Linked DNA regions of Styela clava. The protein of the gene in region 1 interacts with the protein of each later gene in a biochemical or structural test. Links are inferred from orthologs where the notes say so. Each region holds a gene or a part of one and is shown in the gene's direction. Other genes may lie near its edges.

Region 1 (7,608 bases):
CCGATTTTTTGTAAACTGTATATGTGACTCGTTGAAACTGAGATTCGAATGATTCAGAGTGAATAATTATTCACAAACCAGTAATCATACCTGAACTCCCAACTGTTTATGTCGCACAAAGACAGGCAATAGTTGTGGTAAATTAACATTTGCCTTATGGGAATTTATTTTCTTATATTGGTTTGTTTACATGTAACTGTAGCCTAATTCCTTCACGAATTTATGGTAAATTTGGAGTTCGGTACTACCGTAGTATGTGTACCAGATTAGGGTTAGGCCATAATTTTATGCCGATTTTCCTTATTTTAGTTCCATTACGAGTTCGGGGACTGTTTATGTTAGCCTATAGCATAAATAATGGGTAAATTCTGTTTGATTTTATTCTCAGATTTCCACGATACACAGAATATAAATCTTATAACATTTATCCAGACTAGCTTAGAATGGTTTACATCGTCTTCTCTCTCCTATCGAAAGATATCGGAGTCGTATTTATACGTTGATCATAAATCCAATTAAATGCTGTAAACGTGAGCTCGTGATTCACGTTATAAACAGAAATTCCTATTATCTCAACAAGGGTAATTAGGTACATCGTACGGATGGGAACTTAGATATAATTATTTCAATCAGTGCCAAAGGTCTTGAGAATATAGATTTTAATTTGATAATGACTGGATGGAACCTGTTATGTTCTTAAAACTGGTGTAATTTGATTCCTACGAAAGTCTTGGTTCGAATTTTGAGAAAAATTAACTTTGTTTTCATATTTTTAACATGAAATGGGGTACATTTGGGGGTTAGTTGCTATATTATCTCCCCATCTTACTAACTGGAAGTTTCAAGATTTGGCAACTCTAATAAATTGAAAATATATAGAAAAATACAATACACAATGCTAAAATTAATGATATAGGTCAAAAAAAATATTTACATGTATATGATCTACAATGAGACAAGACATTGAAGTAAAGAAGAGTTTATAGAAAGAGTAAAGGCTGTAATGTAGAATTACAGAAAGATGGCGTATTTATATTTGAAAAATTTTGGTTTGGACGGTTAAAACATATTTTCAATTCAATGTATTTCGCTAAGTTAAAATGCTTATACTCGCTTTATCGCATTGTTACGATTTAGTAGACCTAGTTGGTCAATATATGCTTGTCCCATGTCGGGAAGAAAAAACGCATTTTTAAGTTTATGCCATCTCAGGGCTTTTTTGAAAAAATAACGCTTTTGGATACAATTTTTGTTTAACGAGCTTATTATTTAACCGTTCTATATGACGGCTTTGTAAATAATTAAAAGTATGACTCGCTCGAATCTACTTTTAGAAAGCATTTTAATCCCAATGAAATCTATTAATCGAAAAAGGAATGCTAACCGCAAATTTTCAATAATATAAATATTTTGAAAGGTATTTGAAATCAGAATATTCAAAGTTGTTACCATTAATTAATTTATAAAAATTAAAAGTCGAATGAAACGCCATGTATATATAAGAAAAAGAAGTACGGTACTTTACCTTAGTATTAGTGGAAGAATGAAAAATGTCTGTCTCAATGAGAAGAAAAACCTGAAAATCATGAAACAAATTGTAGAATGACATGCTCCTGATCTGTATATCGATTGGGTACGCGCGACAATTTCTCTATTGTTCGGAATAGAGCGCGTAATTTACCGTAAAACAGTCCATATATTGTTCATTGTTTTAAACAGTTCGTTTTTTGATTAGGTTTTTCACCTCGAACATATATCATGTTCTAAAAGAGTTCATTTCGATCGATGTTCAATACAGTCCATATTCATAATTTTAACGTTTCCAGAGTCCGTCACTATAGTTTAACAGTTTTCAATTGAGTTTATTGTCGTTTCATAATGTTCTTGATTATTTTGGCTTGATAGCAATTTGATACTTCAATTGTTGTTCCAGGCAATTTGAATCTCCCCGACATTCGTAAGTTCGCACGTTTTGTATAGACGGTTTCTCGGCAATTGTTGAAAGCTTTCGCTTGGTCAGCTTTTTGGTTGATTCCGTCAAATTGTTGCCTGTCCTGATTGTTGTCCGTACTTGTGGTTGAAATCCGTTGATCTGGTTCGTTTCAGATGGTTAATTCAAGTCGGTTTTGTCACCATTTATAGTATATAGGGTAGATTCTATTTGATTTTATTCTCAGATTTCCACGATACACAGAATATAAATCTTATAACATTTATCCAGACTAGCTTAGAATGGTTTACATCGTCTTCTCTCTCCTATCGAAAGATATCGGAGTCGTATTTATACGTTGATCATAAATCCAATTAAATGCTGTAAACGTGAGCTCGTGATTCACGTTATAAACAGAAATTCCTATTATCTCAACAAGGGTAATTAGGTACATCGTACGGATGGGAACTTAGATATAATTATTTCAATCAGTGCCAAAGGTCTTGAGAATATAGATTTTAATTTGATAATGACTGGATGGAACCTGTTATGTTCTTAAAACTGGTGTAATTTGATTCCTACGAAAGTCTTGGTTCGAATTTTGAGAAAAATTAACTTTGTTTTCATATTTTTAACATGAAATGGGGTACATTTGGGGGTTAGTTGCTATAAGCCAACTGAATGAAATGAACCCTGCCCATAGGCTTCCATCCCTTTACACAACTTGATGTAAAGTAGGCGAACAAAATTAGTTACCTCCATACATGAGCATGCCAAACTTTTCTGCTGCCCGGGGCGAGTTTCTGATAATACTTTTAAAAGTCAATGATCAACCAAAATATTTCATATATATATATGCTTTCATAAAATTCCATAAGCAAATTAGGACGGCTCATCCATTAGCCAACGTCATGAATATTTTACATTGTAACAAAGCTGAAAAATATCAGACGGTTGTTTGTCATGTTGGAAAGGCTAAAGTAGAAAAAAGACAAAACTAAAATGGTGAAATTTTAGTTTCAAACTCCCAAAACCAACCTCATCTCATAGTTTGCGTCGCTATACACTACCGTTGTCCGTTTGCGGGGACGTTGTAACTCACCGAAGGGCTGATTCAAACATCGAACCGCAGACCTGATTCCAAATATAATAAGAGTGTGAGAGCTGGTTGCCCCACGGTGGCCCACCTTTCCCTACTTAACTTTTAAAAAATGTTTCGGTGTATAAAGAGATTATAGACGTCGTTACACGTGAGAATAAATAAATTGAAGGTCAGGTAAGACAGAAACGTTCGTTTTATTAAACAAATCATCAAACTAAGCAAAAAACTCACTGTATAAAATCGAACTCATTTATTAACAAAAAGCAAGTCACTTATTTCTATGTGCAATCGCTACTTTGCTGTCAACAAATGTCTGAATGAAAGACTCTTTCGAATTTCGGTACTAATCAAAGATAAACTTGACATCGAATACCTCGAATATATATATATATTTTTATCAGAACTTTGAGAAAGATCGCGTGCAACTATCAATTGAGTATAGCCAATTGTGAGTAATACACATTATGCAATGCACAAAGTTGGAAAATCATCCCAGCCAAGCTCAACCAATGAATCAAGAAAATCTTTAGCATTTTTTGAAAAATCCGTTTACACTCCGACGTAGCAGTGAACGTTTTAGAAGTCACACAGACAGGTGCATTCATATTATTAGGTGAGTGAACACATAACATTGGCAAGACCCTCCAATTAATATCCTGCACACCTTGGGCAGACTGAAACAACTGGATTTTTGACGTGAAATGGAACACTGTGAATCACAGTGTGATGAACAAATTGGTGTTGACGGTCACTGATGATCAAGTTCGGCTGCAGTATGAAACAGATCATTCACAAGGTGTAAAGAGAATAAAGAAAATTTATGGAAAGGTATTGCGGATAATGTTTTTTTAAAGGGATCAACATACAAACATTCAACGACCGTACATGACATTCGGCTGCTACGGGATGGGGCAAAATAAACATTTAATAATTAACAGCGTATTGCTGACATATAGGCTACGGTACATATTGAATTGGCCATTATTACTGTAATAGATTAGGTGTTTCAAAAGTATAACAGCCCGGAAGTTCCTATACATTCGAGTATCTTTTGTTTGATTATTTCTGGCCTAAGCCTTGTTTTAACTAGGCTTGTGTTTTTTGTAATTTATTTTTGTGTATGTGCTGGTGGGAGGGCACATGATATTTCGCATGTTTTGAACTTTTTTAAATGTTTCGCTCACCCTCCAGAATTCTCCATTTTAAATTTGTGTATATTGTGGAGTATTCGAATAAACTATCTATCTATATAACTGCAAATATATGTGCTTGGACCTCAGGTACTGCTGTGCGAGAAGATTTCTGGACTCCACGCCGACGTAGGGTGGTTTACGTAACCGCTGGTCGATTACGGTTTTCCGGACGAGAAGCCGTGGCCATATGATTATAGGCTTTCTTGCCCCCTGAATAAATATGTAAATTGCAAATCCTGCCCTTTCCCGAACGAGGGCATGATTTCCTGTCGTCATGGTTGATTAAACATGATTGACGGAGCTGGCTTTTGTTGACGTCATTCGTTCGATGTGCAGCTGAAGTGTTAGCTAATCCCAATTATTCCTCCTTAAAAACATAGTACGGTAGGTCTGCGATGGTTAGCCTACTCGTTATCATTTGCATTCTTTAAAATCACGTACTAATGCAGTATTGTTTGCGAACATAAATTTATGCAATACAGTAATAAGTATCGTAAATATAACTGAGTTTACACCTTGTAACAGAAATAAATATTCTCTAATATATTATGAAGTTGAAGCATCAATCTGTCAATTCAATGTTTTCTTCTACTAACTTTACTCATTCTTCAAGTTCATTATTGTTATTTAATCACAATTTGTACTGTACGGTAGTTCTTCCAAATTTAAAAAAAGTTAATGATAATGTGATTTTGTACCATACTAAACAGAATCGGTTTCGGAAATATTCGCTTAGAAAATAAAATATTTGAAACTCAGATCCCCAGCCTGCCAGTGGTGACTGCTTATGGTTTCTGCCCTTCGATTAGTGCGGTAGGATTTTTGATTTTGTTGAATTATCTAATTATTCATTTCTAGAATTTGAGAAAACAGTTGTAAACGAAATACTGACCGATATCCATACTACCAATTTGTCTATTCAATGCCCAGATGTCTCACGCCATGGAAGAATGGGGAATAGAAGAGGATAAGATGGGAATGACCACTGTTTCTGGTACAGTCAAGCTCATGAAAGATAAGCAAAATTTGATTGGAATAAGCATTGGCGGAGGTGCACCCTTATGTCCATGTCTTTATATTGTACAAGTATTCGATAATACACCAGCTGCAAAGGATGGATCTTTGGCTGCAGGTGATGAAATTGTTGCTGTAAATAGCAAATCAGTCAAAGGGCTATCAAAGGTTCAGTTGGCTAAAACAATACAAAGCATAAAGGGTGAAGTCCGAATCAACTTTAATAAACTACATGCAGATCCTAAACAAGGCAAAACATTGGATATTGTTCTGAAAAAGATAAAGCACCGAATTGTTGAACAAATGGATTCAAGTACAGCAGATGCACTTGGATTAAGTCGTGCAATTTTATGCAATGATGTTTTGATTAAGAGACTTCAGGAAATGGAACAGATTGGTGGAGTATATCTTGGGCTCATTGTTCACATAAAGAAACTTCTAAAATCTTATTTTAATTTGTGTAAAACTCACCGTGCATTCGGAGATATTTTTGGTGAGATTGGTGTACGTGATCCAAACTTTAACGGAGGTGAGGCTTTCGGGAAGTTTAGCGAAGCTCATCGTAATTTTGAAAAGTCTGGCTTCACTTTGATGACAACTTTAAAACCAATGTTGAATGATTTGAATACATATCTCAACAAAGCTATTCCGGATACGAAAATGACAATCAGGCGCTATGCAGACACAAAATTTGAGTACTTGTCGTTTTGTCTCAAGGTGAAGGAAATGGATGACGAGGAATATAGTTATGCTGCATTACAGGAACCACTTTATCGCGTTGAAACAGGAAATTATGAATATCGCTTAGTTTTGCGATGTCGCCAAGATGCTCGAGAGCGGTTTGCCAAACTTCGAAAAGATGTTATGGAAAAGCTAGAATTACTGGACAACAAACATGTACAAGATATCGTCCATCAGCTGCAAAGATTTGTTGCTGCTATTTCAAAGTATCATGATGACTGTCAAGCAAGTATGAAACAAGCTGATGTATTTCCAGTAGAAGTTGACTTGTCGAGTGCAACGTTCGAATATGATAAAAAAGACCGATTCCACGATCCGGAATATGAAGAGACTTTAGAATGAAAACGATGTTAATTGTCAACAATTCTAGTGCATATTACAGGTCAATTTGACCGGAATATCAAAAAAACAAAGGAAGTACTCCCTGTGTAAAATCTGAGAATTTTTATTAGGACCGTTTTGTAGTTTTGTCTGCTAATTCTTCGTATCCATATAGATTGGACCTCAAACTATTTATTCTATTGAAGCAATAACCTTTTTCAATTTACATGTGCATTTAATGTGAATTTTTGCTTTTTATTTCATCTGCTATCTTTGCGTAGAATTTTACTGCATAAGATAGTTTTGGAAGTTTTCTTTTATTGAATATATAAATTATGAAATGTAAAACAATGTGTCTTCAATATTGTGCTCATTTTGTCTGAAGTTTTCATTTTTTTGAATGTGTCTGATTAAAATTTTGTTGCCAAATGGTATGTATACTTTAAGAAGAGATTTTGTTATTTCATTTAAACTAGTACTGTTAAATCAAATGGTGAATTATGTTCATTTTATACATCAAACGCAGTGTGATGTTTCACTCTGTATGATTAATTTCAAAATATTAAATGAATAATACTTGAAATTCATGGCTGCTTTAATCGTTTTTGTCAATATAAATCAAATCCCGATACATAGTAATGATTCTAATGAAGATGAATTGTGCTGAACGATGAATTGCATGCTAAGTTCTATGTTTTCCCATTTATTGTGCATGTATTGTATGGTTGGTGATTATGTGCAATTACTTGTCCTTGATTAAGATATAAGATGCTGTAAATTGTATGTTGTTTTCTTTTAGTATTTTATTAACTTACTAATTAATACTGCACCTATTATTTATAATGGGAAAAGAAAAAGGTGGATTTTTAACTCCCAAGGCTATCGCAAATCGCATTAAATCGAAAGGTTTGCAAAAATTACGATGGTATTGTCAAATGTGCCAGAAGCAATGCAGAGATGAGGTAGGTTTCAAAAAATATGTCTTAAATATATTCTTTTCATACTATTATCTCTCTATCCACTTTTTCTATTTGCTTTGCCATGACATCAGACTTTGAACCTACATCTAATGAGTTAGTTCTAACTAATAAGCTATTCTAATATGCCATCCTAACATAACTAGTAGCTCAAAACTCTGAATAACATGATATATTGTCATGACAGAATGGTTTCAAATGTCATTGCATGTCAGAATCTCATCAAAGACAACTATTGCTGGTTGCAGAGAAACCAGGTGCCTTCAATGACCATTTTTCAAATGAATTTTTGAAAGAGTTTATGGAGTTATTGAAGCGTCGTTTCAACAC
Region 2 (7,196 bases), on another chromosome or scaffold:
TAGTTTCAACGGAAAACGCGAAAATACATATATGGATGTAGTAACTGCAGTCCCATGAAATTGTTACTGTACGACTACAGGGCGTGCATGAGGCGGTGTACGGGCGGGGACTTAATATTAAATATAAAAAAGTGTGGAACTCAACTATTATAGATAAGAGAAGTTCCTGATTTAAAGTATGCTCAATAGTATAGATAGCATTGGATTCACATATTTATCCCCGGGGAGAGGAAAGCCGTTAATTAAGACGACTCAATCATCTGATGAGCCACGATCTCTCGTCCTGTTATCAGTCTATGTTGTGTATGGGATTAGTTAGCCAGTTATTTTTTGTTTTTAGATGCATGGATTTTATGGCGGAGGAAGCCGTAATCAAGGTTTCAAGATTCGTATGCGCTGCAAGTTTTTAGACAATAACCAAATTTAGCATTACCCAAATCTTACAATATTACCATCCCAACCTCGAGTAGAAATGATTGGTTGAAGTGATTTCCTGAGTCCGAATCTGTTTTTGAGTTGACTAGTTGTAGTGTCGTGTTTGGACTTGGGTCGTGTTCAAAAATGAAACCCGCTATATACCATAACATGATTTGGTCCTTCTCAATTTAGTTCAACATGTTTTGGCTAGGTATTGACATGTTACTACGTAACCCAGGTTTGAATTTTATTTTATTTGAAATCGACAACGCGGAACGTTTCACCCATGATCACATTTGTGATGTCTTCAACGTGCGGAATACATAAGGCTACGTGTAGCGAATATCAGGCAAAAATTGAAGTATAAACGCAAGTCTCGGACGCTGTCCCGATGCAACAACGTTTCTAAATGACAATATATGTTACAAATAAACATTTGCTGTTTCAAAATGGCATTTTTGATACAGTATTTTCTTATGCACGATAAAACATCACTCTTCCTCATATACTGATCATAAATTTATAAATAATTGCGTTATATTTCCTACATTTCACTGTTATGACACACTAAAACCTTTTATCCATAAATATGTACATTCTACACTTAATATCGGTGGAATTGAATAGTTTATATTTGAGGTAAAAACGATAATTCGCTCTAAGACTTCTTTACAAACAAGATGGAATATGAACGATGTTCATTTTGATTCCAATTTCTCATTTGCTTCACTTGACTCGGCCTCCAAATTTAAGAAACAAACGACCAGTTTAAAATTCAGGACATGACAGTGTTTTGTTTTTTCAATAATTGCGGTACAGTAGAATTTACCAAGTTTTTACCCAAAAATATATATCATCTTCTGTAATTTATTTTATGTTCCCCCAGAATCATCGGTTTTAGTTTTCATAAAACAAAATTAGATAGAAGGAGATATTTTTATTTCACTAACAAATATGATCAGAAGTTCAAATCCTCGAATACGATCAAAAGTCAAATGTTCATATTACGGTAAGAATGGCAATATCCAGGCAAAAAGGTATAAATAAGAACGAATTTGACGTAATAAAAAAGTTGGTCGTTATATGGCGCTGTTGTACTGATTGTTCAAGACAAACGGGAGCAATAACATTTGTTGAGTCAATGACATAAAAATGATACTGTAATATTTCATTTTTACTTATGTAAATGAATGATTATTTGTCACCACCTTACAAAAAATTATCCTATTTGCTTTGCACTGATAAACGAACAAAGTGGTATACTACTTTAGAAATGACCTATAAATGCAACTTTATCTAACACATTTTGTTAACTAAAAATGGAAGTCTCCTGATGAAGCATTGAGCAACGCCATGACTCACAAATTATACAAGAAGCAAATATATATGGAAGGTTTTAAAACGTGTGATGAGTATATAAACTTTATTGCCTGCTGCTCATTTGAACAGTTAACAAAATATAAATAATTGATTATCTTAATCTTCACTGGCAAGCAACGTTGTCTAGTTATATATTCAGCTGGAAATGATAATACAATTTTTTAAGTTGACGGTATGTAGTTATAATGTAGAGATGAGAATTTGATTTACTGTATATGGGCTTGTAGCATAAATAATAAAAACCAAGTTAGCCTCGTTATTTTATATACCCTCAGATAAATTGTTTTACTTGGGCCTTCGGTAAAGCCTTTGCTGAATTTTAAACTTATACCATGCTTATTATGATTTTTTTCCACGGAATTGAGATATCGCTAATATTTAAAAAAAAATGCGAGATTCAATAAATGAGTTTAAATTCAAGTCGGATTATTTGAAGGAAAGCGAGTAATAAATTGTAAGCAATGAAACAAGAATAATTCGACCGGTAGTTTTTTGTATTAGTTTTAGCTTGTAATATTTTACATGATATTCTTGCTAACGTGCGTCTGAATGGGCAGTAAAGCGGAAGCGCGTCATTACAGCAAATGCTATTATTAAGTAAAACAACTGACGGCCGAATCAAATATATGAAGACGATAGTTTTGATTTTAATTAATCATTACGATTTATTCATTAATTGAAAATTAATTTCTGTATACGAAGTCAAATTGTTAAAAAGATGGAGGAAACTTTATGAGGATATATCTTGAATATGTTTTGAAGCATTAGAGATAATAATTAATTAAATTTCACTCGTAACCTGTTTGCCCGATAAGCAATGATTATTTAAAATTGGGATTCTAAATATAACTTTTATATGTTGTCGGAAAAAGTAATCATTTCAATCAGATGACCCCTTGTATAAGACGAACAACGGTCTTCAACGCTTCTTTCTAGCAGTCCAGTTATGATATCATTAACCAGATAATTGTTTTCTATGCATGGGATCTGGATTAGATATCTTTGGATATAGATCGAGATATTCTTTCGCCTGATGACTAAATTTGTATACAATATTTCACTCAATATTTTCGCTACTGTAAGAGTTTACTTTTAACTTTTCCTATGAAAACAAATAAAATATTTTTATCGTAAAATTGAGTCAATTTGACAATTACCTTAAAGGAGTTGGTATATCTCTCAAATATCAGGCCATGGTCTTTTCGTCGATGTTCAAACCAGAACTGTTGAGAGAAAATTACTTTCTGATAGAATGCCCACGAAAGATAGAATTACCTAGCAATGATGACTTCCAAGTATACGGAAGTCAATTGCCCCAAGTCAAAATACATTAATATCCTCAGGGAGTTAAGATACGAAAACATTTTGAAATCGTATGAAAAATATTGTTAAACGAAGTTGAACTGTCTCTGATCAGTATAGGGAAGTCGAGAATTTAAATTCAGACATCTATACTAGAAAGTTTACTATTTTGTAGAGATTTGAATTTTTGGTAAACTTTACGAGCGCTTTGATAGTGCTAGATAGACGTAACCCGATTCGGTCTCTTGCATCGCGTTGTTTTTACCTGGAAGGCCCTCAAACCATTATACATTAAATGCAGACTGGAATTCAGATGCAGGTTAAAAATAAATATATTCAGTCAGGTCATGAGTGCAACTACTACTGTATATTATTTTTTAGCAGGATTAAAATGAGTGACGCATAGATTACTATATAATGAAAATATAGAAATAATATTTTTATGCGGAAACACACTTTTGTGCGATCAAAATTTGAAATTATTAATGAACATACGGATATGGAAGAGTCAGTGACTCAAAATATTCAGCAACACACGCAACTGAGCATTTATTTAGTAATTATGTCAAAATATATTCGACTGCCCTGATCATTTAGTGAAAATGTCTGTAGAAAGACAAGAAAATTTAAGGCAATATTGTCGATTTGCACATGCCCATTTTTCCTTTTTGTCAACTTTAGCAACCTTTTAGCGCGCAATCAATCTATCACAAAGTTCGTTCATCTGAAACGAAAAATTGATCTCTCACATTATTTTTGTGAAAATGATGGCGGTGATAAGTTGTGCAAATTTTTAAAATGTTGAAGTTTAGCATAGTAACGCACTATAATTACGAATTATGGCTATTGAGTCGATGTAACTCAGATATACAACAAACTGAATATTGGTTAATAATATTATTAATGTCACTCAAATTTGACGAGCTCGCTAATTCATTAGCAATTGTCAACCCAAGCTGAAAAATTAGTTGTTGTTCTCAGAATGTTGTTCGCTGATAATGAATGATAGCTATGATCTATGGTAAATTTTACCTTTTTCGCAAAATACGTGTTTCAAAGTAATAGTAAACATGCATAAAATCCAATTCAGTGAATATATTTTTATTTTGTTCGTTGTTGTCAAAGTTTAAAGTATTATTATTCAAAAATAAATTATGCGAAAACGACATGATTACTGGGAAACAGATTATCAACGCACAAGCTTCAAAATTTTACGACATCAATTATAAATGATACAAACTGTAGGTTGTAACTGAGTAGACTGCAAATGAACAAAAAGGAGGAATTATTGAATTGGCAAATTATTTGACTGCAGAAATGTCAATTATGTCAGTTTTATCACGGACATTGTTTTGTTTTGTCTTTGTAGGTGAGTCAATTTTTTTTTATTTTAAGCTAATGTGCCCAAACTCGCTGTTATCGGGTTAGGAAACAAAACGGTTTGTGTCGAAATGTCATATTTGTGTGTGAATATTTGAAGATGCGTATTACGTATTCCCAAGATAACAATCAATTATTCAATTTTGGAATAATATGATAGTATTCTCAACAGCGAGGCAATACTTATATACCACAAATAATTGAATAGTATTAATACTATTTAGCAACGAGCGCGGTCTATTCTGCTCTACTTGAATAAGCAAAAAAAATTCAGATTACTAACTAAAATGCAAACATACTTAAAACAAAAGAATCGTGCTCAAACATATGAACACAAAGGCCAAAACGATGTAGTAATAAATCTTTTACGGTACCGTTGGTCTGACCAACAGATCGCTGAGATATGATCACCGAACCGATGATTACCTTGCGCGGTTCGTATAGGTCCCAATGCCGTTTTAGAATGGTTCACTCAACCGCGGCTTCTTCTACCACCATAGTCCATACATATAAAACAAGTAACTAGCAAACTGTACCCATACTCAACCTAAAATGTATTGAGACGAGAGTACCCAGATAAATATAAAAATTTCATCCTCTTTGTCGATCACAATGACTACGTTTATAAGAAAGATACTCATACTACATTGCTCTGATTGATAAACTTAAACATTTGCTACAAGCTAATGTATTTTATAATGCTCTTTCTTTAAACTCCATACGCAAAAATGTTCTGTTTCTAACCTTTTTACATACTAAAAATAGAAATATCTGGAAAACACGCTATGATTAATAGAATATTCTTTAATCATTAATCATTAAAGTTTAATCATTTAATGTATAAGCAAATGAGATGTAGTTTATGTAGTATGCGTAGAAAAAATAACAAATACAATATGTGTTTATATACTGTAATAAAATTTGCAAATTTACTGACATCTGAAGATGATAGCACTGTGCGTACAACTGTACATAAACAAAATCGTGTTTATTCTCTCAGCCATTTGTTACCAAACTATATATACCAACATACCATTAATCTTTTGTGCTGTTTTCAGCAAGAACGAAACCTCACTTATACTATAAAACTTCATTCAATGTAAAAGTTTATAACTATAGCTCCGAGCAACTATGTTTCATACGGTTGTTATAATCACCAATCCACGACGAAGTTGAATAACTTTGCTGTTTATATAATGGACTAATTATTCATACAATCAAGACTGATCCGTACATATCGCGTAGATAAATTACACAACGTCATCCACTGTTTGTTTAAACAAGCTTGCCAAGTAAATGAGGAAGAGCGTTTCATTATGACATGCCCATGCATGGTTTATGATTAACAGAGTAGAGACAAATGTACAGTAAAATAGATCTTGACTGATTCATATTGTACATGACTGATTAAATGTTTAGATTAGGAGTAATTATGTAATTCTTGAACGTTACTTTTATTTACAGCGAGCCAAAGCGCTGAACATCTGATTGGAAGCCAGCACATGAAGCAGGTGAGCTTATATTTATTTACAATATTTACAAAGTTTTATTGCCATCATTAATCCCAGCGATATTGGTATAGGATATATTGGTTTGTATACATGACTTATAGAATAAAAGATAGGTGGGACAGCGCAAAATATCTAAAATAAAATGAGGTTAACGAACAGGGTTAAAGGTTAAATGTATCATAAAAGTTTTTCCATTTGCCATATAATTGAAATGAAACGGCAAAAGTATGGTTGAAATGGGTGAAAACCCGTAGGAAAACATAAAAGTGATAGCTTTCTAGCGACTTCTTTCATCTCTAAAGACTAAAAATTTTGAATCAGTTGGTTCTGTAGTCGCCGTGAGAAGTGGTTTTCAAAACAACAACAACAACGGATAACAACAACAATTTAGCAAATGATCCATATGTACATTTCTCCTCCGATAAACTATGATTCCATCCACAATAACCAAATTTTTAATTTTCTTTCAGTCACGATCTGGTGCACCAATGCAATTTAGAGATGGCGATATTATACTCGGCGCTGCAATGCAAGTCACGAATGAAAATGCCAATGGAGATTGTGTAGAAGAATTGACAGGAATGTATCTGGTAGAAACAATGAACATGATTATTGACGAGGTATGTGTTCTTTGTAAAAAAAATTACTCAATATTTGTTAAAAATCACGTTAAAAACCAGCTTAGAGGATAATCATCATAATTTATTTTGCCAGAAGATTTGGTTTTATTGAAAACGCTAAAAAACATTATTTTAGTCGAATGGTATTTTTTAAAATGCCGTCAGAATTCTAAATTGTAATTCTCATTACTAATATTTATATATTAGTATTTGTTCCGCCCTTTATTAATAGCATTTAAGACGGTATCTTGTAGTTTAAATTCTGTTTAACATACAGATTCACCTCTGTATAATACTCGGTGTTGTTTCAAAGACGTTTTCGAGCAAAGTTGCACGTCAAACGTTGCTTTTTTTCTGTACGTTTTTATACCGCTTCGTATACATAGAGCACATTTTGCAATTCAAATTTGAAACCGTTTGATTTTGACAACAATAGTTTCTGTATAATAATCCATCTTTTGACATCTTTTTTTTTCATTTTCAACCTGATTATTTTTATCGTGATATCAGCAGCGTGTTATCTCGAGTTTAACCTTGTTACACGCCTCAGAAGTGCGGTCGTGGTTCTTTGAAACGCCGTTTTGTC

The links. The genes of interacting proteins can lie anywhere in the genome.
Region 2: the proteins of PRKCA-binding protein-like (region 1) and metabotropic glutamate receptor 7-like form a complex in vitro, tested with the Homo sapiens proteins (2 studies listed by BioGRID, with this or other methods). The link is inferred for Styela clava from reciprocal best matches to the Homo sapiens genes PICK1 and GRM7.

What each region holds. Positions count from the first base shown.
Region 1 is NC_135258.1:21,925,685-21,933,292, forward strand, and holds PRKCA-binding protein-like, read left to right. Parts: upstream 1-4,675; 5' UTR 4,676-5,155; coding exon 5,156-6,322; 3' UTR 6,323-7,100; downstream 7,101-7,608. Other genes in the region: DNA/RNA-binding protein KIN17-like, read left to right, coding at 7,144-7,263, 7,466-7,608. UniProt on the Homo sapiens protein: Probable adapter protein that bind to and organize the subcellular localization of a variety of membrane proteins containing some PDZ recognition sequence.
Region 2 is NC_135259.1:13,246,280-13,253,475, forward strand, and holds the start of metabotropic glutamate receptor 7-like, read left to right. Parts: upstream 1-4,196; 5' UTR 4,197-4,416; coding exon 4,417-4,468; intron 4,469-5,943; coding exon 5,944-5,990; intron 5,991-6,460; coding exon 6,461-6,610; intron 6,611-7,196. UniProt on the Homo sapiens protein: G-protein coupled receptor activated by glutamate that regulates axon outgrowth through the MAPK-cAMP-PKA signaling pathway during neuronal development.